2 linked regions of the Callithrix jacchus genome follow. The protein of the gene in region 1 purifies or fractionates together with the protein of each later gene. This does not show direct contact. Links are inferred from orthologs where the notes say so. Each region holds a gene or a part of one and is shown in the gene's direction. Other genes may lie near its edges.

Region 1 (3,646 bases):
CAGAGGGCAGCTGGCTGTGCCGGACATGTGCCCTGGGGGTTCGGCCAAGATGTCTGCTGTGTCCCAAGAAGGGTGGAGCTATGAAGCCCACTCGTAGTGGAACCAAGTGGGTCCATGTCAGCTGTGCCCTGTGGATCCCTGAGGTAAGTGTGGTTCTTTTTTGTTGTTTTTACTTTTCTTGAGACAGGGTCTTACTCTGTCACCCAGGCTGGAGTGCAGTGAGTTGGATCATGGCTCACTGCAGCCTTGACCTCCTGGGCTCAAGTTATCCTCCCACCTCAGCCTTTTGAGTAGCTGGGATTATAGGCCTGTGTTACCAGGCCTTGCTTATTTTTTGTTTTTTTGTAGTGAAGACATCTCACTTTGTTGTTTTGGCTGATCCCAAACTCTTGGGCTCAAGCAGTCCTTTTTCCTTAGCTTCCCAAAATGTTGGGATTACAGGCATAAGCCACTGTGCCTGGCCAGGCATGGTCCTTCTTTTTTTGAGGTGGAGTCTCTCTCTGTCGCCCATGCTGGAGTGCGGTGGCGCGATCTTGGCTCATGGCAACCTCTGCCTCTTGGGTTTAAGCAATTCTCCTGCCTCAGTTTCCCAAGTAGTTGGGAATACAGGTGCATGCCACCACGCCCAGCAAATTTTTTTTCATATTTTTAGTAGTGACAGGGTTTCACCGTGTTAGCCAGGATGGTCTCAATGTCCTGACCTCGTGATCTGCCCTCCTTGGCCTCCCAGAGTGCTAGGATTACAGGCATGAGCCACCACGCCCAGCCATGCATGGCTCTTAATAGCACCTTAGCTCAGAAGGTCCTGACTTTTAACTGGGATTCGGTGAGTGGGTGGAGAACCATGCATAAATAGGCAGCATTGTAGCTGATGAGTAAAAAGACACCTTTTAATTGCTACCTTATTCCTTTGGGAAAAACTGAATCTTAAGCACACTGTCATCTTGTCATGGAATGTAAATTTGTGGAAATGTTAGCGGGAAGCAGCAGTCAGTTGGGACTGTAAGTTGGTGATGGTCAAACTTTGCCTCGCCCATCTATCTCAGCGAGCCTTCCCATCACAACACCCACTCCCTGGAGCAGACCTGCAGCACTTAACCAGCTGTGGCCTGGGTGTGTCATTCCCCAAGATCAGCTGTCCATCCTGTGTGTGGTGTGACGTACCATGAGGTACCACTGTGGTTAAAAAAACGACCACTCTTGGTCATGCTTTGGTGATTTTTATTTATACCTTTATTGTGCCTCATCCTTTTTTAATATCAGGTCTGGTCTAATTTATTTCTAGTCTTAGATCTTGACTAATAAAGTTTGCATAGCTCAGTGTGAAAATATAATTTGTGATTCAAAATCCAGTATTTTTTTTGATGTGATTTTGGTACGTTTTCCTTCCAGGGAAAATTATTTGAGGATGATTTGGATTAAGGTTTCATGATTGAGGTCTTGGTAGCACCAGGTCTTGTGGTTTGGTATTGATGGGATACAATTCGGTGATCCAGGCTGAATGCAGAGATGATGATACCTTATTTATCTTTGTAATTTCCCATCTTGAATGTAGTCATTTTTTGGACTGAAGAAAATGGTTTTCTTTGGCGAGAGATTAAAAACAGGTTATATTTACTTACCCTGTTGTTGATAGCCTATTTGAATATGTTTAAGATGGATTTTTAGTTTTGACCAACTTGTTATGGGCTAGAGATTACATGAATCTTTGTCATCAGGCACTTTGGTGAGAAGTGAAAACTCAGTTATCTCAGTGTTTTTTTTTTTTTTTTTTTTTACAAACAGGGATGTCTGTCAGATAGCGACTAGGCTCTGGGCTTGATTGTCACTGAGGTGTTCTAAGGCTTTTAAAGTAAGGGTTTGCTTTGTTCTAGGTGAGTGAGTATCCCTCGCCACTGTCTGGTAGGAGGGATGTAGGAAAGTAATGGATCTTTTAGTTTCTAACATTCATGTTCGCCTCTGATGACCTGTGCCACCCTTTCTTGTTATTTTCCGACCTTTAGGTGAGCATTGGTAGCCCAGAGAAGATGGAGCCCATCACCAAAGTGTCGCACATTCCCAGCAGTCGGTGGGCGCTAGTGTGCAGCCTCTGCAATGAGAAGTTTGGGGCCTCTATTCAGGTAATTAGCTTCATAAGAATGGCTTCATTTTCCTTTCCTGCATGGTAGGGAGCAGGATGAGGGAAGGCTATGTGACCTCTCCAAGGGTTTGGAAAGGGGACTAGTTCCAGGAAGCAGAATGAGGTTCCTAAGGGTTGACTTGAGCCCCAGTACGCACGCACACCTTTAATTGGCTGACTGTATCTGGTGTAACCAGAACCCAAGCTTTCACAGTCACAGGGTAATTGAGAAGTTCCCTTGAGCTGGGAGGTGGTTCTAGTTTGTTTCTCGCTCCCCACTTTCTGCCCAAAGCATCACAGCTTCTTTCCACAGGCAGACACCTCCTAGGAGTCTTAGTGAGATGTTCCTTGACATGGCATTTTAGAGTTGGCCACCCTCCCACCTGCAGTCACCAAGAATAGCTGCAGATGGTGGCCCATCTCTGTGGCTGCCTCCTGAGACTGCAGGTTTCCACAGTGTGCACACACCTGTTAGTAATCAAGGGGACATGTTGATGCATTTGCATTTGGAAAAACAAGAGACTCTTTGAACACCTGGGTAGAGGGGCATCCATGAGGTGCTCCTGTGTATGCTGGCATCTGATTGGATCATAATCTGGATATCTGATTCTTCATGGCACTGCATGCATGAGTGTGTGTATGAAAGAGCACTTGCACACCTCTGTGTAAACGTGTTGCCTGTCTGCGTTTGCATGTCCACGTACAGACAAGTGTGGGATGTCATGAGATAGGGAAATTAAGGAGGCAATATAGATGGCATACTGTTGTTCATGTGGCCTAAAACTCGACCTGAGAAGTTCATTTCTAGGCCTCATGTTATTGATTGACATCAAGACAGTCAGGATTAGAGAGGCCTGCAGTGCTGTGTGTGGCTGATGGGGGGACCTTCAGGTTAAGTTTGGATCTTTTGGGATATATCAGCACAGGCCCCAGGCTCTTCTTTGGTTTCCTCATTGAATTCTGGGAGTAGAGGCACTGGAATGGCTTCTCTCTGAATGCAGAAAAAACAGCAGCTCAGTACAGACATAAGCTCCAAGAGCATAGTCATACTGTGTCAGCCATTTGTTTTAAAGAAATGACCTCATTTGGCAAAGTCAGTTTGTATTTTGGCTGATAAATACTTCTTTCAGTAAGGCGGTCTTAAAATTTTTTCATTTTTTAACAAGCCCAGTGGTTCTATTTTCTTTATCGCTTCGACTGGTGTTCAAGAATCCAAAGTATAAGAGAAAAATATTTGGAGGGTGGGTCATGAGACAGCTGGTGGGATTTGGCTGGGTACCTTGGAAATAGTGGAGATATTTTTGGCATTTTGAATACATGATAAACACCTCTGCCCAAGAGTTGGATTGGGGAAGGAGAGTGGAGCTGGAAGAGAAAAGGGGGAGAGCCGATATACTTGTGTGTGTGTGAGTATGCATGTGATTATGCATGTGTATGTGTGAGTCTGCATGTATGTACATGTATTTGTGTGGTTATGCATGTGAGTATGCATGTATGCATATTTAATGATGTATGTGTGAGTATGCA
Region 2 (3,746 bases), on another chromosome or scaffold:
GATGGCAGGTTACAAGATCCACACACAAAGCCAGTTACTCAGAATGTAGCACAGAGAGACAAAAGGTTGGAAAATACAGACGGTAGGTTAAAAATAAAGGCTTCTTATGTTCGAATTCCAGAAGGAGAGAGAAAATGAGACAGGCGTCTGAAGAAAAATGACTGCAATTTCCCAAAACGGGTGGAAGATACCAACCTACAGATCATAGAAATCTAAAGACTTCCAAGCAAGACACAAAACAAAAGAAGAAAAAATATCCCACTTAGACTTATGATAGTGAAATCGCAGAACAGTGAAAGATGGAGCGCTGAGGTGGGAGAAGTTGAGGGTCAAGTGAAACGATTTACACCTTGGATTTAACAATAAAAGCAAACTTGTACTTGCAGTTTGGTACCTGCCAAACCTCTTACACAGATTAGGTGATTTACTCCTCACAGCAACTGTATTAGGTATATTCTATTACGTCTCTCTTTTCTTTCTTTCTTTCTCTCTTTCGATGGGAGTTTCAGTCTTGTTGCCCAGGCTGGCGTGTGATGGTGCGATCTCAGCTCACTGCAACCTCCACTTCCCAGATTCAACCAATTCTCCTGCCCCAGTCTCCCGAGTAGCTGGGATTCCAGGCATGCGCCACCACGCCCGGCTAATTTTTTGTATTTTTTAGTAGAGACGGGGTTTCAACATGTTGGCAAGGCTGGTTTAGAACTCCTGACCTCAGGTGATGGGATTACAGGTGTGAGCCGCCGCGCCCCGCCTACTGCTTTCATTCTACAGATGAGGGAGTTGAGATTTGGTTACTTGCCCAAAAGGGCACACTTTATCGATGTAGAGGTAGGTAGTTCTTGCTCTAGTTTTGTGCCCTTAACCACTACACATACTTGTCTCTCCAAAGGGCAATGGGAAAATGGGAAGGCACTGAAAGACTTTAAACTGGGGAGTGATAACATTTGTTTTTGGAAGATCCCGGCACCACTGCGGGTACTGGATTCAATGGAGCTAAGGGTGGAAAAAAAGAAACTGTTGGAATAGTGTAACCCCAAACAGGGAGGGCCTGAATGACCTAGGGAGGTGGCAGAAGGGGTAGGCACAAGCAAATGGACTTGCGAGCTCTTTCAGAACCGAGAACATAGGGGTTGAGCTGGGATCACGTTTAACTCCGGGTGGACAGTGAGGATAACCAGGTTTCTGACGCGGACAATTCGGCGGATAGTGCAAGTCATTCACAAGGTGGAATGAGGTGGGGCGCACAGGGGACTTCAAGGCCTGAGGACGAGCTCGGCTTTGGACACGGTAGATGTGCGGTTTCTGTAAAGCCGGCGGCCAGCCGAGGGGCAAGAAACGGCGCAAAGGGTCGAGACCAGAGGGCCAAGTCTGTGGAACTCTCGGGGCAGGATGTTCGAGAGTCCCCGCGGGAGCGCGCCGCCGCGCGGGTTTCCGGAAGCCGCGCGCGCAGGCGCAGTGCGAGGGGGCGCCCCCTGGTGGCGCAGGGACCGCCCCCAGCCTCGCGCCGCTGCCGCCGCCCGCCTCAGCACAACATGGCGATGCACAACAAGGCGGCGCCGCCGCAGATCCCCGACACCCGGCGGGAGCTGGCGGAGCTCGTGAAGCGGAAGCAGGAGCTGGCGGTGAGGGGTTGGGACCGGGGTTGCCCGGTATGGGGCCCCGCTCCTGCCCTGCCTCCAGGCCCCAAGCCTGGTCGCGCAAGGCCGTTCGTTACTCAGGGGGCGCGCCGCGGCGGGCCGGGAGCTCGGCGGCCTAAGGCGGTTTGCGCATTCCGCGGCCGGCAGTTCGGCTTCCGGGCTGTGCAAATCCGGAGCGGGAAGGGAGCCGGGAGCCCGGAGCGCGGGAGGGGGAGGGGCACCGGCAGCCGCAGGAGGGGGCGTGGAGGAGGATGGTGCCGGGGCTCGGGGCTCGGGCGTTAGGAAGGGCGAGCGTCCGTGAGCCGCGGTGGTGGGCGAAGCGGGCGAGTCCGTGATCTTTGCGGGGTGTGGGGTGGGGCAGGTCGGGGAGGGGGTTCCAGTCACCCTGTCTGGACTTTAGAGGATGGTGGGGAGCGTGTTCTTTTTGGTTCTAGGAGTAGATCCGTTGAATGGAGGTTTTTGATTGATAGGGATGTGATGTGTTTGGGAGCATCTAGAAGGTGACAGGCTAGGGAAAAAAGAACATATTCTGGAGAATTCGCAATGGTGACAGGCACCCAGGATCCCATGCACCCTGGTGGCTAATCTCTTCCTGCCCTCGAGTCTCAGCTTGAGCACCCGGGAGGCCCCTCTCACCTGAAGCTGCCCTTCCAGGTTTCCATAGCAACTGGCAGTCCAGTGCCGGCGGCCTCTCTGAGCCTGTGAGAGGGGAGCAGGGGAGGGGGTTGACGCTGAAAGGCTGCTCACCCTCCCCTCCCCTGGTAGCGATACCTTTTGTGCGTGGGAGTGGACATCGCCCAAGTTCTGCCTTAGCCTGGGTTCTTGACTCCGGATTTCTGTGAACCCTCCGAAGTATATGCAACATTTCGCGTGTGTGTGTGTTTTTCTGGGGACATGTTTTATACATTCAGGGGTCCGTCATCCCTAAAGGTCTAGACTGGCTTAGAGTCCTAAATGTCCTGCCCGTCACCGTATCATCAATCTCTCCACAAGGGTAGCATGGGCAAGCTTGCGTTTACAAATCTAATATCAGGATTTCATTTGGGTTGAGACTTAAGTGTTTGCATTTACAAGACATTATTCATGTCCCTGTTTTTCATCTCTCAGGAAACACTGGCAAACTTGGAGCGACAGATCTATGCTTTTGAGGGAAGCTACTTGGAAGACACTCAGATGTATGGCAATATTATTCGTGGCTGGGATCGGTATCTGACCAATCAAAAGTGAGTGTCGGAAGCCTGTAGTGTTCCTATTGTGCTTTAGTAACGTTGGTTTGCAGGACTGCATGCTCTTAGTAGCAACTTTGCTACTAAGTGGTGGTGTGGTCTGGACTTGAACTCTTGGACTCTGGGTCCTGCCTCACTGAATAATCTTAGACAAAGCTCACATGTGTAAAATAGGAAAAGTGGGCCTATGGCACAGGGTGGTTGTGTCAGGCTTAAATGAAATAAAGCATATGACTGTATCTTACACAGCAGCACTCTATTACATTTTTTTTTTTTTTTTTTTTTAATCCTGCCTCAGGTTTATTTGTACAAATAGCACAGGAGGACCCCAGCCCCATGCAGATGGCAGCCCCAGGGGAGTTACACCAGTCCTTCTGTCCTCGCATTGGCAGACAAAGATATCTATTCTGAAGCCTTTGTAGGGGCCTGGGCACCTTTGAGAGCCTGAGCTGGAACTGAAACTGGAGCTGAAGCCTGGACCTTGGTTTGATCCTTGGCCTTGGCCTTGACCTTGACCTTTGGCCGGCAGAGCCTGAGCCCCTTGGCAATGCGTGCCCGAGCACGCTTCCCAAGCTTGGGGTGGGCAATGTAGGCAAGTCGATCGAGCTTGCGGCTGACACCCTTTGGGATCTTGGGCTTAACCTCCTTGGGCTTTACGAGGGCCTTGATGGCCTCAGCTCGTGCACTCATGGCCTTGGCATTGTTGGCCTGCATCTTCTTTAGGCCCTTCTTGTTGTGCTTCTTGGCAAAGCGCATGTTCCTCAGGAACTTGGGGTCCACCCCCTTAAGAGACTCGTATCTTTGTGATCAGGGTTTCTTGATACCATTTCTGTGCCATTTTCGGGACTGGTTGTGTGTGGTGTGGTTCTTGGACTTGGCCATG

What was found. The genes of interacting proteins can lie anywhere in the genome.
Region 2: the proteins of JADE1 (region 1) and MEAF6 purify together in Homo sapiens (affinity purification with mass spectrometry; 5 studies listed by BioGRID and IntAct, counting the BioPlex papers as one, with this or other methods). This does not show direct contact. The link is inferred for Callithrix jacchus from reciprocal best matches to the Homo sapiens genes JADE1 and MEAF6.

Annotation. Positions count from the first base shown.
Region 1 is NC_133504.1:68,419,277-68,422,922, reverse strand, and holds part of JADE1 (protein Jade-1), read left to right. Parts: coding exon 1-143; intron 144-2,003; coding exon 2,004-2,120; intron 2,121-3,646.
Region 2 is NC_133508.1:74,066,848-74,070,593, reverse strand, and holds the start of MEAF6 (chromatin modification-related protein MEAF6), read left to right. Parts: upstream 1-1,524; 5' UTR 1,525-1,532; coding exon 1,533-1,622; intron 1,623-2,744; coding exon 2,745-2,860; intron 2,861-3,746.